3 linked regions of the Arabidopsis thaliana genome follow. The protein of the gene in region 1 interacts with the protein of each later gene in a pairwise test. Each region holds a gene or a part of one and is shown on either strand. Other genes may lie near its edges.

Region 1 (10,291 bases):
TATTCATTCTCTCACAACCCAAACGCAGCATAAACTTCTTTACTAGTTACATTTCCGCCCTAACTCCGCTTATCTATCTTTTCACAACCAATACAACTCACAGTCACACAACACTGCAACTCTCTTAGCTTTCTCAGCCACATATCAACAAGATAAAACCTAATTCTTTCTCTCAAGCTGCACAGAATCAGCTGCTTCTTACTTCGCGTCTCATATGGTCGGAGTCCCGTACAACACAGCCAGAAACAACGGAACAGGGGATGCTCTGTTTCTGAGAAACAATGAAACAGGGGATGCTCTGTTTTTGAGCAACAATGAGTATAACTACTTTAACAACTTGACCGGAGCGTTGACTCGCAAATCTATATGGACAAGCAAATCTTTCCTTTTTATAGTAGATCTTCTTATTAATTAAGAGAGAGTGAAAGAAAAGGAAAAAACTAACTATTTCCTTTTTATCAATCCTTAACGGCTAAATTACACAAAATCTATGCAAAGATATCGAAATCAAATCTTCACAAGATTTTTGTTTTACCGATTAGAAGAGTGACAAAACTAAAATAAAAACGCATTTTTTTCTAACCCTAAGGACCAAATTTTCTATTTCACAAAGTTGTCTCACTCACTTTCATATTCTTCATCATCTTCTTAGGGTTTCCTAAACCTAATTCGTAGTTTCACTCTCTCAATTTCATTCGTCTTCGTGCTTTCAATTACTAGAAACAAAAAAACAGAGAGATAATCAACAAGAAGATGGCCATTCGATCTTTACCTTCTTCCTCTCGCTGTTCCTCTTCTTCTTCTTCTTCTTCTTATTCACTCGCTTCAACGAGTCTAAGCAATAGACTTGAGACCATCTTCAAGAAAGCTTCAGAGCTTTGCACTCTCTGTGATATCGAAGCATGCGTCATCTATTACGGACCAGACGGAGAACTCAAGACATGGCCTCCGGAGCGAGAGAAAGTGGAAGACATCGCTCTCAGGTATAGTCAATTAAACGAAGCCTTGAGAAGGAAGAAAAGTGTTACTCTTTATGACTTCCTGAACAAGAAGAAGGACAAGACGAACTTGGAGAAGAAAGCAAAGATAACGGACAATGATGACTTGAAGACTTGTCTGAAGAACGTGAATATTTTAAAGTATCCACTCGCTGATCATTACTCTCCCGACCAAGTTTCTCAACTGATTCAGTCCTTAGAACCTCATGTCTCTAAAGTCCGAGAAAGGATTCGTTTTGTTGAGTCGCAGAAACACAAGGAGACAAAACCGGATCATCAGAGTTTAGCATCATCCTCTCTGAATCATCAGACCCAATCTTTGAACCCTAGCCAGTTTTCGCTGTTTATGTATAACCATGGAGACAATACTCTGTCTCAGATCCCAGTCTCTGCATCAAATTTCAATCAGGATTATTTCTCAGCGTTACTTGAACAATCTGAGTTGAAGAGTCAGATAATGAAGCAGGATCTTTGTGGTTATGAGCAGAACATGTGCATGAGTAACCATGGAGATGCTACGCTCTCTCAAATCCCACTCTCTGCATCAAATCTCAATCAAGATTTCTCAGCCTTACTACAAGACGAATCTGGCTTGATGCAACAGGAGCTTTGTGGTTATGATCAGAACATGTTTATGAACAACAACAACTTTCAACATTCTTTTGTCTCAAACACACAAGATCACTCTGCTCCTGTGGTACAAGAATCTGTGAACAACAACTATGGGTTGATGCCGCATGTTCCTTGTGGTTATGATCAGAACCTGTTCACGAGTGATATTACCAACAACAACCTTCTTATCAACAACTCGATGTTTCTCTGATAACAAAGCTCATGTCAAGAGAGTGTGAAACTGTTTTTTCATCTTCAAGAATTTTAATATGTTTGTTGTGGATGTTTTATTTTGCTAAGTATTGCATAACGCATAATGTTTTCTTGTATCAAGCTATATTTTACTATGTGAACGTCCAATTTATCAAGTGAATATATATTCCACCGCATCAAAAAGTTATCAATTATTTGGTATATAGCTTCGTGAAAATATCAAACCAAATCACTTATTTTAAGAAAAGCACAAAAAGGATTAAGGATAATAGAAGAACAGTGTCCTAACTTAAAGCTTCAGAGTCCATATTATCACTCCATATTTAGGGACACATATTTCAACTTTTTACACTCCACCATAGTTAGGTATGTGAGCCTAACAAAGTTCTCAATCCACAAAGGAACTTCCTCGATCCCTGTTTGGTTTAGACAGAGACATGAGATGTTGCTTGAGATATCTGGAAAACTCTTCAACTTTGAACATCCACTAAGATCAATTCAGATATTTGAAGTTAGCACCAGTGGGAAGAGACTCTACATTTTTCCTTTTCATCAATTCTAAAAGTCTTCACCTTTTACCAAAACTTCTGAACACTAAAAGGACAGAGGAGACTCTCAAAGTTTTATTGAGCTCTCATATCCTTAAACCGGAAAGAACCACATAATCTTCACTACTAATAGAATCAGGAGATAAAGGCCAAGAGGAGAGTGAAGGAGTCATCACAAGACAAACAATAAATAGCAGTCTGAATATAATTTAATTGTGAAGCTTGCAAACATTATTAGTGTCCAAAAAACAGCACTTGTTTTCATGTTTACTGAAATAGTAATGCTTATGTTGTTCCGTTTAAAGAACATGTGATGATCGCACAGAGAAGAGAGAATCACTGAAATAGTGTTGAAAAAAGAGAATGTTACATACCTATGATGAGAAAAGACAAAGACAAAGCGCACTGTGGAGGAATCAGAACTTAGCCTGCATTGTAAACCGCATGATCAAGACTAGTTACCGGTACACAGTGTTCCTGACTTCTTCAACGTTGTCCTTATCTGTCAACATTTCACATTTATGTTCATGTACTTGTTAAAAGACCCTAATAAGCTACCTACTTGATGTTGCTACTATAGAGTGAAGCAATTTGGTGTATACCTCCTGCATCAATCATGATACAATAGTGACATTGGAAACCTCTATGGAAAGAGAAAGTGCATGTGCTGCTAAATACTATCCAACTAACCATAAACAAGTTGGAGATAATTCAGCTTATTATAACATATAACTGGTGTTTCACTACGGAACACATGTGCTTAGTTCTACTTATACAACTAACACACACAGAATGCTTATGCAGCCCACATAGAGCTACTTCTTACCTCTCTCTCTTTCTCACTGTAAAATAAAAATGAAGGAATTAAAAATATAGAATAAACATAGTTTTAAACTAATTTGGAAATACATTTGTCTAACATTAAAATAATTTATACCAATAAGTTTATACTTAGTTACTTGCTAAATCAAATAAAGTGATGATTAGTGATTACATATGCCTATGATTACAAACAAGTGTAACTATGATTTATGCTTCGAACCCAATCATTTTGAGACGTTAGAAAGGGGTAATTTGGGGTCTTCAAACTTCCTTCTTGAATTTGTCTATTTTATACTCAAGTCCTCGGATGGGCTGTTCTGAAATCACTATAGTTGCATGTGTGCAATAACCCGGCCCATAAAAATTAATGCCAATTGTATTATTCCATTAGCCCATTAAGTCATCAATCATTACCACTAAATCTGCTATAAGATTAGCTTCTCTACCTCTAAAGTCTAACCAAAAAGAAAGTCGAAGATATCTTCATCGTTTGCATGTAATCTCCTTTACATGACCATGAAGTCCTTCTACCCATTATGTTTTGGGATTGCATTAATTAAGAACAGAATAGCACTCTCCCCAAAAGAATTCTTTGGAGCCGCAATTATTTAAGCAAAACATTGTCCGTGGATGATTCTTTACGAACGGGCCGTGATAGTTGTGCCAAGGAACATCTCTGTGGGAGAATTCAAAGCTAGTAGGATTCAAGCTCAAATGGACTTATTAAGCTAGGTAGAAATAATAGAAAGATTGAAATGAAATCGCTTATAAAAACTTTATTATGATGCAATTAATAGAAAAGAAAAAAGACTTTAACTTGTCAACAAGAATACAATGATTCAAAATTGATATTTTTATAAGGGGTTTGTGCAAAAAAAAATCATAATTAAGTCGCTAATTTTTTCAACTTTACCATTAATCTCTACAAAATACATAATAATCCTATAAAATACAAAATAAGACGCAATATAGCCCTATACATATATTGTAAATGTTTCTATGATCACATACATTTGCTTTTTAAAATTGTGAAAGTAGAGTTGGACTCCTCGTCTCGAAGATTTTAATTTGATATATTATTTATCAAAATTTTAAAAATTTAACTATAACAAAAAAATGAAGCTATATTGCATATTATTTTTGATTTCATACAATTATTTTGCATTTTTTTAGAGATAGATGATAAATTTGTAAAAATTGACGTCTTTGAAAGTTATTTTTGCACAAAATTCCTTTTATAAAGAAAAAGAAAAAAATTTGTTTTGAGACAACTCTTAAGATTACCTTACAATACATTGATATTTAAAAACAAATTTATATGAATCTCTAGTAGCTATCACCCTAGTTACATTGGCTAATGGATTTCTCATAATAGTTTTGGATCCTCTAATAATCTCTAGTTTTGGATCCTCTAATAATCTCTAGTATATGAAGGACGGAATTTCGATCATTGCTCTCAACTTGTTCATCAAAATCTAGCAAAATTGACATTTTCCGTCGAATATCACCCATATAAACTTAACCATAGTGGAAACCTAAAAATTCACCCCCAACTTTTACAAGAAAGTGATCTTTCTCATTCCTTCATTTGAAAGGTTTGACCTTAACGTTTTTGTTGTAGTCGAAGGAGTATCTTTCACAACATTGCTGATCTTAGAACAAATGTAACCCATTATTACCATAAGACTTATTTTTTCTTTTTCAGTTTTGACTTGTGCCTTTATGTTTAAGACACTAGTAGCCACATTTATTACGCTTTTTCACCGCAAAATTTAACACGCACTCTCTTTGTCGATCCCACAAACTCCATCTACCTAACCATGGTTAAAAATCATCAAACCTTGGTTCCCTTGATTAAAATATCCCTAAATCCAAGTCTCTTTATTATTTCATTTAAAATCATAAATTTAGTTTAATACAATTGTCCTTTTTCAAAATATTATTTCTTTATTTGCTTCAGCAACAGTCGTCATAGTCATCATATCATTTTCTTCTTTTCCTCCTCTAAACGAATATTACCAATAAAAAATCAAGTGGAAAATATGTAATATTAAAAAATCTCCAACAGCTTAAGAAGTTAGAACCTTTTTACTTATCTTTATTTCTTCTTCTTCTTCATTTTTCTATTCACATTCTCTGAAACTCATACCATATTTTCAAAGCTCTTAACCCAAAAACCCTAAGTCTTTTTTTTCTTCAAATTATTGGTTATATTAATGTTTTAAGCTATGATGGATATGACTCCTACAATAACAACAACAACAACACCAACTCCTAAATCACCCGAACCCGAATCCGAAACTCCGACCCGGATCCAACCGGCGAAACCCATTTCCTTTAGCAACGGCATCATCAAACGCCACCACCACCACCACCATCCTCTCCTCTTTACTTACAAAGAATGTCTCAAAAACCACGCGGCGGCTTTAGGTGGTCACGCTCTCGACGGTTGCGGCGAATTCATGCCGTCTCCGTCGTCAATCTCCTCCGATCCAACTTCTCTCAAATGTGCTGCTTGTGGCTGCCACCGTAATTTCCACCGCCGTGATCCAGATAACAACAACGACTCTTCCCAAATCCCTCCTCCTCCTTCCACCGCCGTAGAGTATCAACCTCACCACCGTCATCATCCACCACCACCACCACCTCCTCCACCACCACGTAGTCCTAACTCAGCTTCTCCTCCACCAATCTCTTCCTCTTACATGCTCTTATCTCTCTCCGGTACTAATAACAACAACAACAACTTAGCTTCTTTCTCCGATCTTAACTTCTCCGCCGGAAACAACCACCACCACCACCACCAACATACTCTTCACGGATCTCGTAAAAGATTCCGAACAAAATTCAGCCAGTTTCAGAAAGAGAAGATGCATGAATTCGCCGAACGTGTTGGTTGGAAGATGCAAAAACGTGACGAAGACGATGTTCGTGATTTTTGCCGGCAGATCGGAGTTGATAAAAGTGTTCTCAAAGTTTGGATGCATAACAACAAAAACACCTTTAACCGCCGTGATATCGCCGGAAACGAGATCCGGCAAATCGATAACGGCGGAGGAAACCACACTCCGATTCTCGCCGGCGAGATTAATAACCATAACAATGGACACCACGGTGTCGGAGGAGGAGGAGAGCTTCACCAGAGTGTTAGTAGCGGCGGTGGTGGCGGAGGATTTGATAGTGATAGCGGCGGAGCTAACGGTGGTAACGTTAACGGATCATCGTCGTCGTGAAGTTAAAGATGAGAGTGTCAGGTTAATAAGAAGCTTAGAGTAAGCTTATTCGTATTATCATCGTTAATAACTTTCTATTAAATATTAATTAAGATCTTTAGCTTTGTTTGTTTTTGCATTATTATTAGTTTTGATTTAATGTTCTTTACCACGTCGGTGTCTCGCTCGATGAGGAATAATACCATAACAATGTTCGAATTATATCATTTGTTGTAAACATTTCTATTAATGAACCCTGAAATGTGACTAAGTACTCCAATAAATGGTACACTTTTGATGTGGTAATCTTGTTTCGGATGAAGAAACAAAAAGATTAATAAACGAGTGAAACATGATTAGTTACTATAAATATTCATTTGGTTTCTTATCTTTTAAAGTACTCTTCTTAATTTTATTTGCAACCAAACTAGATGTAGTAGGTGTACTTTTTTTCTTTCTTAGATCCTCTTAATTTTATTTTATTTTTTTATTCTATATCAAATGATTAGCCATCATTAGTATATTAGTAGCATTGTTGTTAACACCCAGTGTTTTCACGTCCGACCCGGACCGTCCGGTCCGACCGGTTGAACCGTGACCCGAACACTTTTCCGGTTTGGGTTTAGTATTAAAATCCAACAAGTTCAAAACCGAAAAAACCCACAAAAACTCATCATTAACCCGTGACCCGATGAACCAGTTGAACTGGCCGGATGTGGGTTTTAAAAAATTCTCTTGATTTTGGAATAAAATATGAGATTTTAGACTTTATTCAATCAATTTTTAGATATTTTTCAGTTCTTAAACCCATTTGATGTTTAAGATTTTGATGAAGACTTCACAATGCCGCCTTAAAAAATGAATCGAATGGTGAGTGAGATATCCGATATTAGTTGTGTGAATTCACGATGTTTTATTAGTTTATTTCCATCATTGCTGATTTTTTACTATATTTGTTACGGTATTAGACATTTAGTTGGATTTAAAAAATTTCATCACTTTATTATTATTGTTTGATTATATATTTATATTTTTTTTTGATGTAAATGATTATTTTTGTTTTAAAATTTATAAGAACTCTAAAAACTCTAAAATCTCTATTAATATTAAATTTATTAAATAAATTTTAATCAATTGACCCGTAGTCTAATCTAATTAACCCGATGATCCAATGATCCAAAAGGTAGTCCGATTCACTGGGTTGGTTTTAAAAATATTGTTAACACCATTTCCTCTTTAATCTATGTCATTGTCATGGATTCATTCCGATAACCCATTTTTGGTATATATGCTTAGTTTTGATTATTCTCATTTGAGAAGTACAAACCAGCATATACCTTTTTATACTTAGAGATTGAATTAGTACAATTCATACTAAAGTTTGATATAACTATTATTATATCACATCGTAGCATCCATAAAATCTATACAACTTCTAAATAAGGGTTTAAGGCGTGGCACTAACACAAATGATTGAGTTGATGAATAATTTAACAATAACTTTCCATTTGGGGAAACGTAGGGATGAGTACTGATATGTCGGCTCTCACAATAAAGAATGAGATTAGGATATTATGGGTATCTCCCATACGGGTTTGTTACAATTATTTAAGCAATTCATTACTACTATTTCTTTATTTAATTTATATAACGCATTTAGTCAAGTCACAAATATCTTTCCGTATTATCTTGGTGGGGACAAAACTTTTGCACAAGCTGAGGTTATGGCCCTAACTGCCATATACCATGTGCACCACTTGTTAATTAATAGTATTATTTATTTTTGTATCAATTTAGCCATCAATTCACATTATCGCAAATAAAACAAAATTAGCCATAGTATAATTTCAACTTTTTTTCTTTCTAATTTATAAGAAAAATACATATATTTAGAACCGAAAATAAAAAATATGAGACTAAACAAGAAATTAAATAGAGAATTATATGTAACCTCAAAGTTAGAATGTATTATGTATAATATAATGAGTCTATCGGTAATTCCAGTATTTTGTAGGTACAAAATTGATCGGTAATTTCTTAATTTTTTTGGTTCAAAATAAATCCGCAATTTTTAGGAGGTAATTTATATTTTCTAGCTTTAAAATATAAAGACAATAAGTCTATCACCTTTTCAGTCGAAAATAGATTAGACATATATACTTTACTATCTTCCCAAAAAAAAAAAAAAAAAGAGTACATAACTATAGTCAGTTGTTTTATTGAAATAAGAAGTAATATTTTATTGAGTTACATTGTGAACTGCAAGAAAACAAATAATAAATGAATCATAAGTATATAATTATAATTTGCCCCCAAAAAGAGTACATAACTATAGTCAGTTGTTTTTTCAGCTGAAATTTGGTACAGTGACAAAAATAATTTCACCCAATCTTAGTGAAGCCATAGAAAAAAAGGTTTTACCATAAGTTTTTAAATTTTTCAAAGAAAGTACAGTTCCTTGTATATGATGGATCATATGTAGACTTGAAAGAAATGGCCCGCCATGTTTTGACATAAATGTCTATATTTCAAATTTAAATGTGATGGTAACCACTGTGATTATATAATGTTCCAATTTCATTTACAATTAGGTATGGATAAGTTTTTATTATTATTATTGAAAAGCAGAGCAACTAACATATATTATCATGTATATAGTAAGGTTGGGATTTACCTTTCTTGAGCACCTAACTTCGTTAATTTTCTCGGTCTTTCTTGTCTTGAGATTCCTTGCCAAATTTAGTTGACAATAGCCAACACTGAACAATAATGAGATCCTTAAATATTTTATTAATAAAGTATGACACCAACTAAAGAGAGTGACAATAAAGATTTATTTTGAGAGATTACTTAAAAAGAAGTGAAATTCTCTAACACCTTTTAACAAAAAAAAAGAAGAAGGTCTTAATTCAATAAAATTGTACCCAACTAAAACATTTTATCGCCATTTTCTTTTCACTGTTTCTTCTGGTTAAATTCTTTTACAGTGTTTCGGATGCAATCTTAATTCCATTTTTATTTAATTTAATTTACAATCTTAATTCTTATCACTGTTTAAAGACTTGGTAAGTTGATTTGTTTGAATAATTTAATTGGATAAATAGATCATATTAGATATTAGTAGATTGGTCCACACTATATGTGTCTATAAAAATAGGGTTCAAGACTATAACTAGAGTTTGAAATGCATAGTCCTAGGCATTGTCCCGAAAAATATTCATGGATAGAACAGGTCGAATAACCTACATCAACGAGAAACAATGTCTACTTATCTACAGATACCATAAATAAATTAACCAGAATATATATAATACTATAGAACTGGTTGTGCTAAAGAAAAAACCAGAGAAAGAAAGAATTTAAACACTAATTTGTAGATGAATAGATTGGTAATGAAGTTACTGTAATAGTTAAATTCGAGTTCAAAATAGTATGAAGGATAGAGACACGAGTAATATAACAATAGTCCAGTTTCTGATTGAAGTTCAGCACAAAACATAGGTTATGTCTTTGGATTTAAATATTTCTAAATTTAATATTGATATTTCCCCAACAGCCCCAGTTTCCTTGTTAGGTCCATTAAATAGTGTTGGTACACATCAATAGTAAGTGCTTCCCTACGTTTGAAAATTGATTTTGATTTTGGAAGAATTAAAAAATATTAAGGTAATTTTATAGATGTCCCATTTTGAATATAATTAAGGTAATTAATGTTAAGTAGCACGAATTATTTAATTAGTTTGAAAGATTTATGAGAATTGGTAATATCATATATTTATATGTAAATTTATCTTTGATAAAAAAAACCAAATTAAAATATTGAGATTCCAGGGTTTCTAACAAATTCTATAAGAAAGCATGTCGTTTGCGAGGAAATAACCATTCT
Region 2 (10,267 bases), 1.6 Mb from region 1:
GGATTTTAATCGGTACAGGTAATGGTTTTGACTAATTGGGTTATACAAACAATTAATATTGGTATTTAGTCATTATCTACACCTTATATTGTCAGGTTTTCTGAATCTTATAGATTGATATGGAAATTCTAAATGTATGATTTGGTTTGGACCTGATTTGTTATACAGAAAGGTTTTGATCTTTGTGAACACTACTGTAATTGTCCAATGGGATAAAAGAAAGTTTCCAAACTCAGGCAAAACCCGTTGATACGTGAACTATAAGTGAAAGCATTAGGAAACTATACACACCTATGAGACTGAGACATCTCCTTATACAATTCTTGTAACTTTTATATTCACTTTTCTGAAATTGTTTTAGCGCAAACCAGCCACAAAAATACAGTAATTCTCCATCATGTTCTTGGTTGCTAGTAACCGGGAAATATTGAAAGGGATCTTAACCGGAAAGTACCGAAATTTTTTAAGTAACCGATTCGAAGCATTTTTGCTTTTTTGGGCCGTTATAATGGGCCGATAATCCACAACGCCATATCGCGTGTTCGAAAACGCGCCGATAACAGAAAAAGCCAATAAATTCTCGGTGGGAAATAAATTGGTGAAATTTAACGGAAACCCCAAATTCCAGAATCCCCAAATCGAGAGGTTAAAGAAACTTCGATTTTGATCTTTCGAAGTGATCGGCAAGAGGTGACGGTGGACGGTGACAGAACTGTCGGAGGTAGAGATCATCAACCACCGGTGACTACTACTGCAGCGGCGACAACAAAGATGGCTATCCCGAGGCTGAGTCTTCTTCCTAACAACGAGCACAATTCTGATAACTACGAAGATCTGGAACTTGAATTTAGCTCTTCCGTATTAAGATCCCTAGAGAGGTACTTACCGCCGGAAATACTCACGGCGAATAGAGAAGAGAAGGCCAAATTCATGTCAGACATTTTGCACAAGTACATTTCCCGCGAAGAATGTGCCAAAGTAATTGCTCTTTCTTTTTGATCTCAATCTCTAAAATTGAAATCGGTAATAAGAAATTACGATAGTGATCTTTAGGTTTATCTTGTGATGATGAACAATTAGAGAGATCGATGTGAACAGAAGTTTCTGATGATTTATTCACAAAAGCTATTACATGATTATATAGCTACAGGAGCGTATCTAGTTTCCTAAAGAGATACAATTAGAATCAATTACGTTTAATGTACATTATGATGATTGATATGAGATCATATCTCATTAGATGAACACATAGAATCAATCCCACAATTTCTCAGAATAGTTTCATGTCTGTTTAATGTTCCAGGCTATACGGTTCAAGAACTATAGGGAGTGGATAATGTCCAATTATCAGGTGAGGAGACTTTAGCTCGTCACTTAGATTGTTTTCTTGATGCAAATAGTTTTGAAATGTTTCCTTTTTCTGCAGCCACGTTTCAGGGAGTTGTATAAACTTGATCCCGAATCGTTATTGCTTCCGTGTTTCCGCAAGGCGGTCAGAGAAAACACCGAGGAAAGCTTCAGACGTATAATGTTTGAACCGTTTCCTGGTGTTTACGTCTTTAAAATGTTTCAGCCTGACTTCTTTCAGAAATTGCTTGTTGAGGTAATAGTAACAAACACATCATCTTGCCACTTATTCTCTGCCCTGCTCTTACCTCTTTGTTTGATTAATCAGGTAGAGAATATGAGAAAGTGGCTTCATGAGGCAAAATTGATGATCAGGAAACCAAACAATAAGAGTAAATATGGTGTTGTGCTTGACGACTTTGGCATGGATATCATGCTTAAGCCACTCGTGGAGGATTTTATCTTTCCTATTTGCAAAGGCAAGGCGTATATATTACTTAAAAATGCATTAGAAAGACTTTTAAAAAGTAACATTAAACTTCACTATGTTGTTTTGCAGTATTCTTCCCTCAAGTGTGTGGAACAATGTTTGACACTCAACATGGATTCGTTATTGAAAATTGTGAAGATAGGGATGCTGAATTAGGTGAGTCCCTTTTGATTTTCTGATATTACTTGAGAAAACCAGAGTGAATTCTTTAATCTGGTGCAGTGATCTTTTAAATCTGCAGGCTTTCATGTGGAAAATTCAGACATTACATTGAATGTTTGTTTGAGTAAACAAAGTGAGGGAGGGGAAATATTATTCACAGGCACACGATGCAATAAACATTTGAAAGCAGGTCCAAAGCCAGAGGTATGTGAGTCCTCTTACGTTCCTATATTCAGTAAATGGCAAAATGGTTAGCTAATAAAGGAACCAATTATTTCTCACTGAAACAGGAAATTTTTGAGTACTGTCATGAACCGGGTCAAGCTATACTTCACCTTGGCTGCCACAGCCATGGTGCAAAAGCCGCCATAACATCTTGTAGTCGGGCCAATATGATTCTTTGGTGCATAAAGTAAGCAATCATGAAGCTTGCCTCAGGATTTCAGATCACAACTAAAACACCTTTTCTTCTGCATTTCCATTTGCAGCTCTTTGTTCAGAGAGATGCAAACTTATGACAACGAATTCCGAGACTGGTGCGGTCAATGCGCCCGTGAAAAGAAAGAAAAGAAAAGCCAGAGTCTTGCTTCCAAAAGAAAGGTTAAGAAAAGAAAAAAGGACATGATTTTGCTCAAGTTTATAAGATGTTTTGTTTGAGCATGGTTATGAACCTGTGGGGGTCCTTATTGCAGGAGATGATTAGGATAATAGAGTGAAGCCGAAGCCCGCTGAAAAAAATGAAGTCTATGCTTTGAATTTTGACTCTTTACTTGGAAAATAACACTGAGTATATGTAGAATCATTTGATGTAAATAGGTCTTTGTGTCTTCGAATTTCTTACATTACTACTATGTACATGAAAGTTACCAGTTACATGTTTAGGATCGGCTATATGTTTACAGTTTACTCGCCGTATCGAAGCAGTGTTCAGTGTCAGCTGAAAAAGAGTACATATAGCCGGTCCATTCGGTTAGACTCATGAAAACCGGTTTAGTAATCATATGTTTACAGTGTCAGCTTTTTTTTTGAAATGTATGATTTGGTTAACCGGTTTTAAAATTGTGAACCAATTCAATTGTGCAATTCCGAACACTAGCGATTCGAAGTAGAGAAAGTAACATTGTACCAAGCTAAACCAACGGCGATGAATGCTAGAACCGCGATGTGATGTGTGATTAAAGAGAAGGTTAGGAGGAAGTAGAGGATGATAAATTGATTCGGAAATGTGTGAGGTTTTGTGTGACGCGTGTGGTGGCGTCGGCGATGGACTAGCGGCGCTGGTGATTGGTTGTGCGGTTTCTTTAACGCCGGAGATTACTTGATTCGCCACCATTGTTGCTCTGGATTCTAGAAACTTCTGAAAATCCTAAATTCGTTGGGAAAAGAGGAGAAAGTCAAACTGATTCATGAGAAGTTAAGAAAGCCCAAGCCCATTAAATTGAGTATCACTTAATTCGTTATTTATACTAAAAAAGATCGTTTTCTAGAATCGAAGTTGGTAGTGTAAAAGAAAAAGAAGTTGAAGAAGCAAGAATTTTCCATCGAAGTGGTCAATTATCCGAGTGTAGTAAAGATAAAATCTCTTATCAGAAAATAAAATAATCGAAGTTGGTCAATATTTTTAGTCAAGTCATTCACACGAGGAAATTTCCCACCCAAGAGTTAGGATACGTGGAAAGAAAATCTCAATGACTAATGTGTTACAATAATTAGACGAAGAATAAACTAATGCCACACACACACACGCACAAATTCCACTTGTGATGACTGATGAACTTAATTATTATTATTAAACCCTAAGGTTTGATAAAACGGTATAGGGCCGGCTCTTTTCTTTTCTCCACGGTGTTGTGTTTTTTGAACTCACAAAGGAGATTTTGTACTTTAACTTCAAAAAGAAAATTGGTTAATTTGAAAACAAACAAACAAATAGTTATAGCTTTTACGCGTCACGTAATGTCTAAATTTTGTTGCCAAGACACGTCACTTGACTTTCTCTAGAGTTCACCTTTGATACATCATTTGACTGTCTCTGGTTTTCTCCTATATACGTCACTTCATCTAACCAAGAAGCTGAGAAAACTATTCATTGACCACGTTCTCAATATGTTTCACGTGTGTTAAATCAACAAAACCACACGTGATTAAATCATAATAGGTATATAGACACACCACACAAAAGACAACATCAAAAATCACACAAATCAAGATTGTCAAACACACTAAGAGAGAAAGATGGATAACTTTTTTCTAGGTTTGAGTTGTCAAGAAGAAAACAACTTCTGGGATCTAATCGTGGCCGACATCTCGGGTGATAGAAGCGTCAGTGTACCTATCAGAAGCGCCTTTAGGTCATATATGAAGGACACGGAACTGAGGATGATGTCGCCGAAGATATCTTCTTCGAAGGTGAACGTGAAGAAGAGAATGGTCAATCTTCTGAGAAAGAATTGGGAGGAGAAGAAAAATACGGTGGCTCCAGAGAAGGAAAGAAGCCGGCGACATATGTTGAAAGAAAGGACGAGAAGAGAGAAACAAAAACAGAGTTACTTAGCTCTCCATTCTCTACTACCATTTGCCACTAAGGTACCTTGATTATTTGTGTAATATTAAACTTGAAACGAACTTTATTTTTCTTAATGACTTGGAAAGAAAATCATAGTAGTTCTAACAAAAATCCGAATTTTTACAGTTCAAAATGGCACACAAAATTAGATATTCGGTAGAAATGGATTAGATTCATGGATACTAAATTTTCAGAATTTCGACTACTATGTCTGTTCACTGATCTTTGATGTTTGTATGCTTAATTACATGCATTGATCTGGTTTTAGAAGCTTATCTTAAATATCTATAAATTTATATTGAGTAAGGTATAATATAAAGTTTTGAGTATGATAAATTTCCAACTACAATCATTTGTATAAAATGTTTGTAAGTTTTTGCACTGGAATCTTTTCTTTTATCACTATTTTCTTTTACTTAAGGATTTTGATATAGAAACAAGTTTAAAGAACATCATAGATTGATATCGAAACAAGTTTCAAGACCATCATTTCTCCTTATATTCTCATTTTATTTCAGAATGACAAAAATTCGATTGTCGAAAAAGCCGTGGATGAGATTGCGAAATTACAAAGATTAAAGAAAGAACTAGTGAGAAGAATTAAAGTGATTGAGGAAAAATCAGCAAAGGATGGTCATGATGAAATGAGTGAAACAAAGGTTAGGGTTAATCTAAAAGAACCTTTGTCTGGACTAGATTCAATGCTTGAAGCGCTTCATTATCTTAAATCAATGGGAACAAAACTGAAAACAGTCCATGCCAATTTCTCTCCTCAAGAGTTTTCTGCGACCATGACCATCGAGACTCAGGTACATATTTAATTCGATTCGAATTGGTTGAATCCGGTTTTGGTTTCTCTTTGGTTATGACAACTTGACAAGTACATAAAGGTAATAATAGGTAGGTTGTTTTGTGTTAGTAGCAAAAAAAAAGTAGATGGTTGTATGTTTTTTTAATTAAGTAGTTAGATCTGTATTAGTGTGATGATATTAAATTTAAAGTTAACTTTTTGGCAGATTAGAGGAGAGGAGGTTGAAAAGAGAGTGGAAAGAAGACTCCAGGAAACTGAATGGAAACTTCTCTTTCTCCCAGAAGCTTCCTTTTACAAAGACTACTAATTCTGTTGACTTTCTGTCATTAATTTTCTTTTGTATTTAAATTTGTATATAGTTAAATACTTAAATTAACTGGTCATTGCTTTATTGACACACATAAAGAAAAATAATGGGGCACACTACTTTTGAGTTTTGAGTTTTGAGGTTTGAAAAATAAAACTAAGAAAATAATATTGATAGAATATAATAGAAAATTTATCAAGTATATAACCATATATAGTGCCAAAATTTGCAAATTGTGTGATAGATAATTTGGTAAATATGTAATGCATTTTATCAATAAAAAATACCATAAAATTTGATTAAAACCAGCATAAAAACCTATCCCAATTAAAGTTTATTTTGAAAAATAGAAATTGGAAAGTTCAATACTTTGGCTATTATTATTTATTATTCAATACTATTTACTACGTACACTCTATAGTAAGAGTTTTTAAACATACAATGTTATTCTTCAACTTAATACGTTGCTGGAACAAGTAAACAACTCAAAACATTAAATAACTAGGAACATAGGGATTAATATATTTGTGCGTTACAATCTTAATAATTGTGAACTAGTACTATCTTATTAGCAAATACACTTGTTCACCATGTGGTTCATTATTTAATTACTTATGAAATCGCCAAAAAAGACCATAGATTTGTCATAGGAAATACAAAAATGGATAATAAACTTTCACCTACCGAGTCAAAACAAGAAGGAACTAAACAAGAAAACAGCTCCTTCAACCAAAACTTTTTGCATATTTATCAAATATTTGAAAACTTTAAATTTGGTAAAATGAATGAGGAGCAAAATAAGATAATTTAACACAGTACTCAAATCTAAACCCTCCTGGTGGAGTTAAACAGAAAGTCATCAAAATAATTATCGAAATTAAGACTTAAAAATGAGATCAAAGTCATCTAAGAAGATAGATATGGAGATAAGTAGCTTCTTCACTTGAGAGGGATAAACCTGGAGGAATTGGTAGCACCAACACCAGGCCTACCGTGCTTTACCGGTTTGTATGAGATTGAGAACTCAGCCAAGTAATGTCCAATCATCTCCGGCTTGATCTCGACTTGGTTAAAAGTCTTTCCGTTGTACACACCAATGATGCTTCCAATCATTTCAGGCACAATGATCATGTTCCTCAAGTGTGTTCTCACTGATGCTGGCTTCTCACCAGCTGGTGCCTCCATTTTCTGCTCAAAGACACAAAAATCATTGACTCTTTAGTATTTTAAAACCATTTGGTTGCAGAGAAACAGCACATTATTCTATATATGGATACATAATAAGGACAATAGCACAAAAGTGGGGTATAGATTATCTGAGTTATAAAAAAAATGACATTATGTATAGTCGCACTCAAGACATTCTAAGACATAATCTTTATTGTTTAAAGCCATTTGGTCACAAAAATCGAACGCAAAGTTGCATAGGGAAGAATGCATATTTGCATAGAGAATGAAATACCAAAGTAACATTATCGAAAACCGGGTATAGATTATCTGAATTAGTCACACAAGACTAATGCATAGAATATAAAAACATGCTGATAATCTTTTAACTAAGAGGGATAACACGATTCTATTAGCCATAAAATAAACCATCAAAATCGCTCAACTTAATGAGACATATAAACATACAAGATACACAATTCCTAGATTTGGACAATTGAATATGTTGTTCAACAAACGTAACATTTAATTAGTGATGTGAGAAATTTTGATTTTACCGCTTTGCGCAATTTCTTAATCAAAGCCATAGGTTTTCTGGTCAATCCTCTAGAAAACCTTTAAAGACAACAAAACACATCATCAGTCTCACAAAACCAATTAGACAAAAGCTTTTGTTTGGTTCAAAGAAAGAAGGTAACCTTCTGCGAATACGGGAACTGAAATGTTTGACAAGATCTTCGATGGACATGTCGAGAAGCGCATCGAGATCGACTCCTCTGAAAGAAAACTTTTTGAAGGTTCTCTTTTTCACAATTCCAGCCGCAACAACCTCTGGTTCCATATCCACAAAGATTGGAACTGACCATTGTTGGATCGATGAAACCCTAAAAAATCCACAAAGCCTCAAAATAAAACAATGTATGCGCAAAAGACAAACAACTTAACTTAAGCACCAAATAAATAGGTAGCGCATCCTGTAACCCTAAAAATATTTTCTTTATGTTCTCTTTATTTTTTAATATATTTGGGCCCATATATTTGGAAAATAAGGCCAAGAGAAAATAAACATATTAAATAAAAAAAATAGCTAGATAACCCAACAATGTATCATTTTCCAGAATTTATTAAGTCTAATTCTCAAAAGTTTGAAGGTCGATTTGATGAATTTTTAATTACTGCAAAGTTCAGGCTAATACAACTATGAACTATCCAAGCAAATAATTAAGTGGTAGTGAATAGTGATCTAGTGTACTTATCTAGCTCTACAAAATATTCATGATTTTTGATAAATTATGATCGGTATTTCAATAGGCTTACCTCATCTACTTTACTTCATGTCAAGGCAACACTGACAAGCATTACAAGACAAACTCCTATAGCACCAAACCATCATACTTTGTCTCAGCTTGCACTAAAATTTCTAAAGCGATTGCTCATGTGAGTGAACCAATTTTCAATTTGGTGACACTTTAAAAACAATATTGTGCAAGCTGTATGCCAAACAACAATGACCATTGCACACTAAATCCAAAATATGTTTTGATATAAAACACCAAACATAAATATGATGTCAAAACAGATTAGTTCATTTAGGACAAATATCAACTTCTATCAAACATACCTCATGAAAAATGAGCAAGACACCACAATATCTCTCTTGATATCAATGTACTTTGTTCTTCCATGATACTTTGATCCTTCACACATAGACTATACAAGCTTAACAATCACAATAAATAGTCATCGAGACATAAAGATCCGAATAAAACTCGCAAATCTAAATAGATTGGACATCCAGTTTTAGATTGTTGTATGGTTTGAGACATTCGATGCCCTCTGAACTAAGAAATTTACACTCTCCTTTTCAACCGAAAAAATACACGGGTAATCGTAAAACCTATAACTTAAAAACATTTATCTACTTGAACAAATGTCCTAAAAGCCTAACATTTTTCTCTGCTGAATTTTCCGACTAAGTTCCTCCGCCGACGGGATGCCGTCGTAGCCGCTTGTTCTGGCACTTTTCCCCGCGCTCTGCCACCAGGCCTTTAACTCCTCCTGCTCAGATAAATTAATGCAAAATATTCAGATGAAAACTTAGCAAATTAGCAAATTTCAAAACTTTTGACATAATTGGTCAAATTTTATTATATACCTCAAGAAAGTCTTGGTTTGAGATAAACTGAGACTCAACAAGGCAAGTCACACCTTTAACCTTAACTGAAATTAAGCTTTTCTCTGAATGTCTCCTTGAGCTTTGTCCCTCTGTGTCCCCTGGTTAAAACAAACATATTTCAGTTGCAAATATTCGAGAAATACGCGAGTTTGAGTATTGATTTATATGAAAGTGTACCAACCATCTATGCGAGCTACATAATACCCTGTTCCTCCAAGCCCTTCTTCCCATTTCCCGAGCCTTAACCGCAAGAAGAACCCTTCGAGACCCGATACAGACTTCTTGGTGTTTATCCATCTGAAATGAAATGTCAAAAGATGTTAAAGCCTCATAATGTGACAAGGGAAACAGTCTTTTAGGTGTGAATTAGATCTTACTTGAGAACGTCTGTGCGGCTCAGGCGAAGCACTTGAACAGCATCAAAGACCGCCCTTGGTACGTCTGTGAAACCACTTATGGGCAGCTTCATGCCAGAGGTAGAAGCTAAAGCGTTCTTCATAGCTCTACCTTCAGCTCCTGAACCATACAGGGGAGCATTCGGGCATGTTGCAGCCCAGTGACTAAGCTGAAAACATCTAATGCATAGACTTGACGCTTCTTCTCTTCCATTCCGCACACTTATGTTCTGTACTAGATCTCTGAGCTCAGTATCAGTTACTTCCAAACAATCCCGTAAACAATGACCCTTTTTACCGCAGTAGAAACAAATTAGATCCCTCTGTTCCTCCTCTGCATTCTCAGCTAAAGAACCTGAGGGCATGATGCTTTTCATTGCTTCTAATCTTCTAGCAAACAAAGAAGCCATTGCTTCTGAAGACTCTATTCTCATTGACGAAACTATAGGAAGGACAGTGTCCGGTTTATCGGGCCCATCTACCGAGCTGATACTGGGTCTTATAACATTCTTGTCTGCCAGCATTTTCCGTGAATCACGGGTTTTAGCTGCGTCTGAGGCTGAAGCATTGGCCTCTTTAGCCGTTTCACTTGCCTTTTTCTGAGGGAACGAACCTTTAGAAGAAAACCGACTAATCCACAAACTTTTAAGACCAGAGTTTCTGTTGGTTAAACATGGACTAACCTTTCCATCAGCTTCACCGCATGTTTTTGGCTCTTCATTTGGCTTAGACTTACTAAGAGACATCAACGAGATGTTTGGCTCTTTGTCCTCACGTTTGTTCTCTGAAGACTGTGTTTTGCTTGTCTGATTAAATACAACTTTTCCTGATGAAATGTTGGGTTCA
Region 3 (11,006 bases), 4.7 Mb from region 1:
TTAATGAATGATTTGTGATTAATTAGGATACTAACTTCTGGGGATCGGTTTATACCACTCGTGCTGCGCTTCCATACCTTAGACAAAGTAATGGTAAGATTGTGGCTATGTCGTCTTCCGCAGCGTGGCTAACCGCTCCAAGGATGAGTTTTTACAATGTAAGTATATATTCACTTCTTTTAATTACTTAGTAAAGTAAGCTCTTAGGGATTGATGAATATTATTATACATATAATATGTTAATTAGGCAAGCAAAGCAGCTTTGTTGAGCTTCTTTGAGACGATGAGAATTGAGCTTGGTGGCGATGTACACATTACAATCGTCACACCTGGTTATATCGAGTCGGAGCTCACACAAGGCAAGTACTTCTCTGGTGAAGGCGAGTTAATAGTCAACCAAGACATGAGAGATGTAAGTTAAATAAATCTTTAACTCCTTAACCAATATAATTAATATTGAGGTCATTGTTGAATTGTGTGTTCTTTTGCCCAAAATTAACTAGGTTCAAGTAGGACCATTTCCGGTAGCGTCAGCATCAGGATGTGCCAAGTCGATAGTGAACGGTGTGTGCCGGAAACAAAGATACGTGACAGAGCCATCATGGTTTAAGGTGACGTACCTTTGGAAAGTGCTATGTCCGGAGTTGATTGAGTGGGGTTGTCGGTTACTGTACATGACTGGAACTGGTATGTCCGAGGATACTGCACTCAACAAGAGGATCATGGACATTCCTGGTGTACGTAGTACTCTGTACCCGGAATCTATCAGAACTCCAGAAATCAAGTCGGATTAGAGAGGGGTCAATACATAATAAATGGATGAGATGTATCATGAGTATGTGCAATGAGTAATAATTATCAAAGAAATGGGTGAAAATGTAGGTTTGTTTTTGTTAATGGTACTTTTGACTATGTATATTAACTATGTGTCTTTAAGAATAAGTGAGTTGCCTAATACTAAACATGTGTGTATCGAAACAGAAGAGAATCCAACCATACTGAAATATTTTAAACTGAATTCGAACAAAAGTTATATTTGTCTAGTAGTTGAGATTGGTAAACAAAATTTTTGCGGTTTGCATGAGTGAGCAAAGTCAAATTTCCAATTAGTATGATATTGTCTCTTTTGATCTGGATTTTTTCCAACAAATTTATACTAGTTTGAGTTAAACTGAACATGTTAAAACTGTTATAAAAACACTTCGATGTGTAATTTGGATCAATGATTGATTATTGATTATTTTATTTTCTATTTAAAACACGACAAGAAAAAAGACAAAAAGAAAAAAAAAGGTTGAACATTTCCTAAAACCAAAAAAAAAAAAAACTGAACAGAACTAGAAAAACTAGATGGCCATCATGTTGTATTTCAGATTTTTATCTCTATTATGCAATTATTAAACAACACAACTGGTTAATTCCTTTTAGGCTTAGAGATCAGAAGCTCAGGGCATATAGCACTAAGCCAGAACAGGACACGAACCCACGACGGCTCTGCCACAAAGGTTTTGCCTCTGCAGATTCCGTTAACTACCGCTTTGGCGCATTCCGCTGCTGACTCGATGGTCACAACTTGCGACCAGTCTTGTTTCTGCAAAAGAGACTTCAGTCATAAAACTTGGACAGACTAAAATGAAAAATGATGATAGTAAAATACCTCAGCTAAAAGGTCCGGATTAGTATTTCCGTTTTCGATTAGACCAGGAAACACGATTGTCACACCAACTTCTGGATGAAGCTCGATCCTAAGAGTCTCGTAGAAGTTTATCATAGCTGCTTTGCTTGCCTGAAACAAATGTTACATTCATTATGTTAATATGTTACGCTTGGTTAATTTAGAGAACAAGAGAAAGAAAAAGAAGAAGAAGCATTTACAGCATATATGCTCATCCTTGGTACTCCAGACCATCCAGCAGGTGATGCAACCGCTATGATCTTTCCTTTTGTTTTCTTGAGATGCGGTATAGCGAAATGTGTCGCGTAAACCGGTCCCCAAAAGTTAGTGTTCTGCAAATTTTGCCAAGGTTCATATATTGTAAAAAAGACTTCACTATGTATTAAATCTAAAAATGTATACCACAATGGGAAGAACATCCGAAATTTCAGAATAGTCCTCGAAAAATTTGGCCTCCGCAATTCCAGCATTGTTCACCAAGTGATCCACTGATGTAAATTTTGTTATATTTTTTATGTTCTTTAAGCAAGTAGTAATATTAGTTATTCGAATAATAGTGACTAACTCACATCTTCCAAACCGAGAGATGGTTTCTTGAACAAAACGTTTACAGTCTTTGATGACTGAGACATCACCGCGTACCACAGCAACGTCTGGTGAACCAAGCTTCCTGCACCGGTCAGCCACCACCTGGAGACGATCCTCTCTCCGAGCTACTAGAGTCAAGTATGCTCCTCTACGAGCATACTCATACGCTAGGTGCTACACCATTAAATCAACTTCAAATTGCTTTTGTTTTTTACCAAATAACTAACCAATTTATAAAAAATAGACCAAGCTTTTCTAGGATTACAAACAAACTAACCTCGCCAATTCCTGAGGAAGATCCGGTGATGATGACGACTTTTCCGTTGACTTTCTCGGACTCTTTGCATCCCCTTATGAACTGGAGGAGCTTGAAGAATATTGAAAATGGCATGAACACTAAAAGAAACGAAACCGTGACAATAGGAAGAAGGATGTTAAAGATCTTGTTGTTTAAATCCATATCCTTGACTTTGTGATTCTGCTTCACCAGAGGCTAAGCTACAATTTATATACTCTTGAGCTTTCTTCTGTTCAGATGTCACTGTCATAGACTTTAGTATTTAAGATTAAGGATAAGAGAATCTCCAAATCATTATTTGGTATCTTTTGTGTTTGTCCTCATCCAACTTATGTTTTTATCAAATATTTTTCTCAACTTGTGGAGAAGTTTCCACTTTCATCTCTATTGGTTTGAAACCTCCCTCAACAACAAATAATGTCACTAAGCAATGAACCATAACAAAACTCACTATAGACTGTCAAATTTTGCTGTTTGTTATATTATAAAGATGCCACTCAAAGAGCCAGAAACCGAAATCGAAAATTTCCGGACAAAATAGAACACCTTCACATAGATAGGAGTGTGTAAATTGATGGATTAAAGTAAATAGTGGGTTACAGATTGTCTTTAGGAGCGAACCAAGTTAGTAGATACAAAAGACAAGGAGCCAAGTTCTAAGTACTCTAAAGTCTAATTTCCAATACAATCTTCAACAAGGAACTAATTACTAAGAGCAGCGTTTCACAGCACCTTTCATGTTTGGAAGTTAAAGCTTGTGGGATAGGTCCTCGATTACACCTTTCCCATCCTCTGCATCAAAGTAGAAGAAGTTCTTCAACGGCTCTCCTTTGCCTGATATAACTTTTATCACCTCCTGTACGTACAAATACAACTTTTTTGAGTCACATTACTCTGCTAAGTGCTTAATCTAGATAACTAACAAAGTCCTAGAGAAGCGAGATAGAGAACTGTACCTGTCCTAGAATCCCTCCAATGATGGCACAAGCCGGTGGGAATTCTGTGTTATTAGATACGAGTCTCTCCAAGAGGATATCTGGAATATGATTCTCGCTGACCGACTGTTGCAACATTCGGATTCAAAGTGAGTGACAAAGTTTGTTATTTGTCGTTATTATTGTAGAGCTTACAAATAAAGGTTAAAGAAACTTACATTTCCTTCACATAGTTCCTTTTTGAGTTTCAAAACTCTTGGGAGATCAGACAGCGAACATTCCCCAGGTTTACGTCCTTCAGTTTCCTCAAATAGTTCTATCACTGCAAGAATATCACAAAACCGGATTAGTTACGTAGGAAGAAACCAAGCTTTCAAAAGGTTAGCTGTTGTTGTTAGCCAGACCTCTCATTGCAAAGTAGAGCTTTGCTGTTCTCCTTGGCATCGGTTTCCACGGTACTGAAACTGCCTCCTGGAGAAATAAGACCAGTTAATAGATTGAATTTCTATTACTTTTCATGCGAAAGTATGTTCCAGGAAAGTAAGAAGTTAAGTTTGTTGTACCTCAAAACTTGGAAATGTTAGTTCACATTCCACTGTTTCATCAAGCTTTTTCTATGAAGCCAAAATTGACAATAGAGAAAGAAAGTTAACACATTATATGCCAAAAGAAAGGCATGTGATATACAACCGTCAAAAGAAAAAAACGAGATGAGTACCTTTGTGTACTTATAATTCTGAAGGTCGACAAATATTTCGCCACATGAGCCTCTACAATCAACTGTATAGAACGCTACATCTTTTGCTAGGTTCCTACACTTTTCATTAACTGCTTTCTGCATAACAAAGCACATTATTTCAAGTGATCAATCTACATGGCAACAAAAGACAAAAACAACTGGAACAACTAAAAGAAGGAGGTATCAACAGTACCTTAGTAGCACGAGAACTGTAGCCGATAACCACAACATCAAACTTCTCGAAAAAATCAACACCAAGTGTTGACAAATCACCTGAAATTGAAGACATAGACTCGATGTTACTAAAATCATTTGTTTCTACTAAAATTAGAGAGAAATGAAGAAAGGAGGAGTAACCTTTCTCTATTGAAACATGAACCATAGGGTTAAAATCCTTAAGTGAATCACAACAAATCTCAGCTACGGTTTTGCCTACATAAGCATTTTCATCAGGAAGAATCAAGAAGTTTGCGTTGAAGACTTCCGTTGTAACCAATCGATCATCCAACAGAGTCACACTACCTACTCCTGCCAACACAATGTTCTTACAAAACTGCAACACCAAATGGAGGAAACCAAGTAAGATGCCAACACTCACTCTACTGCAACATAGCTAATAGAGAGTCACAAAATAAAGTAAGAGGTACCTCAGCAACAGTGCCCTTAATTCCAGATACCAAAACATGAGATTTACTCAATCTGCAAGCAAAAACACAAAACAAAATTCAGAGAAGCCCTAATCAAAATTTCAACAGCTAAATTAGCTTAAAACCCAGAAAGAGATAAACTTTCACCGAGTATAGCCCAACAAGAAGAGTTTATTAGTACTCAAACGGAAAATCAATAACTTGTTGTTGCTTGAAGCCATAGAAGTTAGATTCAATGTGAAGTACCTTCTTTGAGCACCAGCTCCCCATACCCTAATTTGACGGTCATAAAGAGCAGTTTCCTGCTCGGTGAGCTCATCTCCGTCCATTCTCGTAGTGAAACCCTAGAACCGACCTCGAAGAGATGATCAAACCCGTCACGAATCTACTACAAGAGGTTTTCGGTGACTCACTCACTGAGTTTGAGATTTTTTGTTAACCGGAAAATTGCTTTCTTTTTATTTATTCAAATTACATGGTTTGTTTTGGTTTGGTCCGGTTCGTCAACTACAAATTTTTAAATTCAAAACAACTGTGCATTCAATAAATAACCAATTTGTTATTTTTTAGGACAATTTATGGGCCGAAACAAATGAAACATGGGCTTTGGACCCCAAATCTTTTAAATCCATCTGCAAAACTTTTAAAGACATGGAAGACTTTTATACGATTCTCCCTGATAATTGACAACTTGTGTGACCCGTAACTATGAAAGTCAAAGAAAATAACGCGTATCGGTGGAAAGAGAGAAGAAAAAAAACAGAAGAAGATGTTGTGTAATGCGAAGCACAACATTCACATGCTATGTTTTTTGCCGTAAACAACTAAGCATCCTATACCTCTTTCTTTAGTATCACTTTCCAATTTATTGTTTCATTTTCATCATCATCATAGTTATAAAAAAGAAAAAACCACATCTATTTTATATCACAATTTGAAAACTAATATATTTTGGATAAGGGTCAGTAAAAAGATACAAGATTTATGAGTAATTTGAAATTTTCAAAAGTATACTCTGTTCATTCATAAAAATCGGATGCTCAGAGTTCAGAATTGATGAATGGCAGAGAAAAATATAAACAAAGAAAAGTTGAAAAAGTAAGCAAAAGAACAATCAACAACAGCTGTCACTTTCCTCCATTCTTTTCTTCACTTTTTCTTACTCAAAGTTTTTAAAAAATGATATCAATAAAACCCTAAATCAGGAAAGTAAAGTTACAATTAAAGTAAGTAAATCATTTCTTAACTTAGTAATAGCTATTATCATCAATTTCTCTCTCTCTTTCCTCTTTCTCTTATTTGCATTATTGAAGTAGCAGCCACACTTGTTGTCTCCACTTTCTCTTGCTAAACTCCATCATCTTCTCTTTCTTTTTTTTCACTTGTCCCATTTTTTTATATTTTCATCTTTCTCTTTTGGAGTTTCTTCTTCTACTGACTCTACTGGTAGGTGTATGGATTTGGTAAGATTTCTCAACCTTCAAACAACAAACTTTTCTTATTCTATAGTTTTTTTTAATGTAATAACATGTTTATAATCTTACTTTAATCTTTCATTTTTATTGCATTTTTTTAATTCTTGCTTGGAATTGAGTAGACAGAAAAAAAGTTTTTTGTTTTTTTTTTTGTTTTCCTTTCTTCCCATTTTGTGGGATCTGTTCTAGTTTCTATGTTTCTGCACTTCTCATTTCGTTTTTTCAGTACAATTAGTTTGCCTTTTTTGGGATTTTTTTTTTGTTTTTTTTTCAATATCAAAATAGATCATTTTGTTAGAGCTTCAACTACAATTTCAGAGTACTCTTTATAATTGTGTTTTTGCTTTTTGCTTATGCTTTTTTATTTTCCTTCATATGTATTGAAGTTGAAGTTTAATTGAGTTAAAGATTCATGGGTTTTATGTTTACTAGTTGTTTTTGCTGTTTGTTCTTAAATTTAGAGTACCAATATCAAAAAGGACAAATCTTGATATTGCTTTGATTGCTGTTGTGTATGTATGTGTTTTTATAGTGAGAGAAGAAAAAAAAGCACAATCTTTGAATGGACTGGAATTTCAAACTTAGCTCTGGTTATTTATCTGGATTCGATCAAGAACCAGATTTATCACCAATGGATGGTTCGATCTCGTTTGGTGGGTCGTCACAGTCAAAAGCGGATTTTTCATTTGATCTAAAACTTGGAAGAAACATTGGAAACTCTTCCTCTGTTTTTGGTGATACAGAGCAAGTGATTAGTCTTAGTAAGTGGAAAGATAGTGCTTTAGCTAAACCAGAAGGTTCAAGAAGCTCGAGTTCAAAGAGAACAAGAGGGAATGGTGTTGGAACCAACCAGATGCCGATTTGTCTTGTTGATGGATGTGATTCTGATTTTAGTAATTGTAGAGAGTATCATAAGAGACATAAAGTTTGTGATGTTCATTCAAAAACTCCTGTGGTTACTATTAATGGTCATAAACAGAGGTTTTGTCAACAATGCAGCAGGTAAGATTGTGTGTTAATGGTTTAAGCTTCTTGTTGGGTTGGTGAAGATGTTAACATTTGTGTCTAATTAGGTTTCATGCTTTGGAGGAGTTTGATGAAGGGAAGAGAAGTTGTAGGAAACGTCTTGATGGACATAATCGAAGACGACGGAAGCCGCAGCCTGAACATATCGGTCGTCCTGCCAACTTCTTTACGGGTTTTCAAGGTTTCTGTTTTAAGAAAAGTTAGTTAGTTTCTTGAATCCAATAGACCGTTCCTTGTTGATGAAGAAGCATTGTTTTATGTTTTCAGGTAGCAAATTGCTAGAGTTTTCTGGTGGTTCACATGTGTTTCCAACTACATCTGTGTTGAACCCGAGCTGGGGAAATAGTCTTGTAAGCGTTGCTGTAGCCGCCAATGGTTCGAGTTATGGGCAGAGCCAGAGCTATGTTGTTGGTTCTTCTCCTGCAAAGACAGGGATAATGTTTCCAATCTCTTCTTCTCCAAACAGTACCAGAAGCATAGCAAAACAATTCCCTTTCTTGCAAGAAGAAGAAAGCTCGAGAACCGCATCGTTGTGTGAGAGAATGACGAGTTGCATCCATGACTCTGATTGTGCTCTCTCTCTTCTGTCATCCTCCTCGTCGTCAGTCCCTCATTTGCTTCAACCACCACTTTCTTTGTCCCAAGAAGCAGTTGAGACAGTTTTTTACGGGTCGGGATTGTTTGAGAATGCGAGTGCAGTCTCTGATGGATCGGTTATATCCGGTAACGAGGCTGTCCGTCTTCCGCAGACATTCCCGTTTCATTGGGAGTAGTAGAAGAAGAAGTAGGTAGATAGATAGAATCAGAAAGATCTATTTGTGTCTCTTCTCTTCTCCCTCATTTTTCAATGTTCTTTATCATCATCATTGTTCTTGTTAACACTACAAGAAATATGGACATTCTTAACACACCGAAAACGCTATAATAACGTTTACATAGCGGATTCATAAACGCTGTGTTTGCCGGAGCTATCTTAGAGTGGTCACATACAATAGCGTTTCTTGCTATGCTATTAAATGTTCACATATTATGGCGTAAAAGAAATGCTTTGATTTCCTTTGTTATTGCACAATTTTGATGTTATACTTTTGTAACTCTTTTTAAGGGCTATAAACTATTATTTTGTAGCTATATTTTATAGGCTATGATCTGATATGTTGTAGCTTTATTTTTTTGGCTATAAATCTATAAACAGCCTATAAGTTTGGGACATTTTGTTACACATTTGCAAGAAACCTCTTTTTGATCAAATTCAATATATATAAAATCTCCATACAAGTCTCAATCCAAGTCTTAACTAACATTACAATAACAAATGCCACAAGTAAAATGATATCACATCTTCTTTCTAACCTTGACTCGCTTCTCCAATTCTTCTCATAATCTTGTACAGTCTTCTTCTTCTCTCCAATCAAACTTCAAACTCGAATAGTGTAAAAATGAGTACTTGAGCAGATCTTACATGAAACTTAGAATTAACATCACTATCTCTTCTCTGAGCTTAAACACTTGATAAACCTCTTCCTAACCAAACTGCTAATCCAAACGCATCCTCAGCTGTAAGAAAACAAATAAACCGAAATCAAAATGTTAATGGCAATCATCCATTAATTTTGTCCTTTTTGTTACAAACGTTATTAGGTTCTGAAGTTACAAGACTTATAAAATCTGCAAAAATATCTAAGCAAAATTTAGTATTTTAACCATAAAAAGAAAACAAAGAACATGTGGAGCAAGTGAAAAACTCTCATATGTCAATGATTCTCGTGAATTACTAGAGTTAAGGATTACAGAATCAAAGAAAAGCCAAAGCACTTATTTAATAATTTAGAAAACGAAACAGAATATGGACTCTATAGACCAAATCATTGAGTTCTGTTCTAGATGCATTGAGCACTAAAACCCTCCTATGCAACTTTAATATGAGAGAAAAAAGACAACAAACTGTACCTGAAAAAACTGAAATATTGTAACAGTTACTTAAAATGCTAATAAATTACCTTGTTGAGATGAGCCATCTTGTAGGATTGGAGGTGCTGTGATTTGAGCTGCTGGTGTCAATGGCACGATATCTTCCTTGTTGAGTTCCATGTTTCCCTTATATCCCCTGGAACAAAGAAAAATTTCAAATCAGTTCTCTTGTCCTAGTATAAACAAACTATTACCAAATAAGAATGAGAAAACCTTACAACAACAATGAGAAAACCAGATTGAAAACCTCAAAACTATAGAAAAGACGTTTGTCATTCAAACTAATAACCTAATGAAAGTTACAAATACCACATTTGAATTCTAGAAAATCAAGCTTGTAAACGGAAACTTCATGGTTAAAGATAGATGGAGATTGAGAGGCATATATGATGAATTACCATGGCTGCAAATATCTCTTGGATATTATATTTAAAATAAACAGACAACACGAGCCTTGATACATAATTCCTGCAACATGTTCTTCTGCGTAATCTCGTCTGCCTATAACAAAACATACACAAGAAGCTCAACCAAATATACACAAAACGATTTTATAGATAAGTGTGTAAATTTGTCTACTTTTGAAACTTAACAACATCGATAGGATTGGCTATGACCGCAATACAAAAAAAAAAAGAAGTGTCGTTAGCAGACTAAGCGGTTTCTCCGGATCTCAAATCCTAATTTGGAATCGATTTCAATTTCGAATCTAATTTTCCCAAATAAACGAGAATGTAATAGGTTAGGCGTTGAATGAGATGTGAAGCAAAAACAATTAGGAGTAATGGAACCTCAGACTGGCGATTGCAACTTTAGGGAGAGACAAAATATGTAGATCTAGGGTTTTGAATAGACGGTATTACTGTGGAGGTCTCGATTTGGTTTTGTAGATATATGTAGGTTGAGTTCTGACCATGATGAAACCTTGGAGATGTCAGAACAAAAGCTTGGGTAAGAACATCTTTGGAGAGGACGATGAGAAGAAGGGGGATCCTCAAAGTTTGCGCTGGTCATCGACGAAGACAAGAGGAAATTCTGGATTTTTTATTTTGCTGTCTATTTGGAGATGGAGGAACGGAGGGATTTAGGTTTTTCTTTTGTGAGAGAATGAGACAAAATATTTTGTTCTTCATTGAAAAAAGAAAACACAAAGCCGTATCTTTAATAATTTGGTGGCTAAGTGTAATATTTTTGGGTAAATGTTGGTGCTTATAATAATTTTAGGTTTTTCAATTAAACTTTATTTGTCCGGTTAGTCATGTTAGCGTTTAGCATTTCGTAACTGCTATTATATAGTGTCTTTATCCAACATTTTATTTTTAATAGCAGTTACAAAAATTGAGCTATTAAAATGTGCTATCAATATCCATATTTCTTGTAGTGTAAATGTTGAATTGTGGGTTTTTATTGACATTTGATTAGTTGATGTGTAGGTTCTGTTGGTCTTGTAGTACCCAATTAGCAACAAGTTAACAGTTTAGAGAGTAGATAACTATTTATGTACACATCTTATTGCAACTATAGAATCTTAGGAGAACCACTCTTATCCTTTTGGCTAAAACATATGTTAATGAAAATGAAATGGCTGCGGAGATGTTTCGAGCTATTCATTATATAGTTGTCTATGTTTGTTGGGATGTCTATTTTGGTTA

The links.
Region 2: the proteins of HB23 (region 1) and BHLH92 interact in a two-hybrid assay, tested with the Arabidopsis thaliana proteins (one large-scale study listed by BioGRID).
Region 3: the proteins of HB23 (region 1) and SPL13B interact in a two-hybrid assay, tested with the Arabidopsis thaliana proteins (one large-scale study listed by BioGRID).

The regions. Positions count from the first base shown.
Region 1 is NC_003076.8:15,906,122-15,916,412, forward strand, and holds HB23 (homeobox protein 23), read left to right. Parts: upstream 1-5,228; 5' UTR 5,229-5,421; coding exon 5,422-6,426; 3' UTR 6,427-6,739; downstream 6,740-10,291. Other genes in the region: AGL81 (AGAMOUS-like 81), read left to right, coding at 754-1,821. UniProt on the Arabidopsis thaliana protein: Putative transcription factor. Probably involved in establishing polarity during leaf development through the gibberellic acid (GA) signaling pathway.
Region 2 is NC_003076.8:17,528,726-17,538,992, reverse strand, and holds BHLH92 (basic helix-loop-helix (bHLH) DNA-binding superfamily protein), read left to right. Parts: upstream 1-4,196; 5' UTR 4,197-4,234; coding exon 4,235-4,585; intron 4,586-5,083; coding exon 5,084-5,374; coding exon of another isoform or gene 5,375-5,386; exon of another isoform or gene 5,387-5,581; coding exon 5,582-5,683; 3' UTR 5,684-5,863; downstream 5,864-10,267. Other genes in the region: AT5G43660 (2-oxoglutarate (2OG) and Fe(II)-dependent oxygenase superfamily protein), read left to right, coding at 398-450, 678-978, 1,304-1,351, 1,427-1,603, 1,676-1,826, 1,907-1,993, 2,079-2,203, 2,290-2,411 and 1 more; AT5G43640 (Ribosomal protein S19 family protein), read right to left, coding at 6,623-6,871, 7,408-7,465, 7,549-7,691; TZP (zinc knuckle (CCHC-type) family protein), read right to left, coding at 8,786-8,908, 9,006-9,124, 9,208-9,323, 9,404-10,267.
Region 3 is NC_003076.8:20,613,047-20,624,052, reverse strand, and holds SPL13B (Squamosa promoter-binding protein-like (SBP domain) transcription factor family protein), read left to right. Parts: upstream 1-5,989; 5' UTR 5,990-6,345; intron 6,346-6,514; exon of another isoform or gene 6,515-6,889; 5' UTR 6,890-6,919; coding exon 6,920-7,359; intron 7,360-7,430; coding exon 7,431-7,564; intron 7,565-7,650; coding exon 7,651-8,156; 3' UTR 8,157-8,349; downstream 8,350-11,006. Other genes in the region: HSD1 (hydroxysteroid dehydrogenase 1), read left to right, coding at 27-158, 248-412, 504-794; HSD7 (hydroxysteroid dehydrogenase 7), read right to left, coding at 1,415-1,591, 1,658-1,786, 1,876-2,007, 2,078-2,163, 2,245-2,437, 2,541-2,723; SAE1B (SUMO activating enzyme 1B), read right to left, coding at 3,310-3,417, 3,518-3,622, 3,715-3,818, 3,901-3,967, 4,060-4,110, 4,215-4,331, 4,429-4,508, 4,593-4,788 and 2 more; AT5G50665 (uncharacterized protein), read right to left, coding at 8,885-8,940, 9,384-9,490, 9,753-9,855, 10,218-10,368. UniProt on the Arabidopsis thaliana protein: Trans-acting factor that binds specifically to the consensus nucleotide sequence 5'-TNCGTACAA-3'.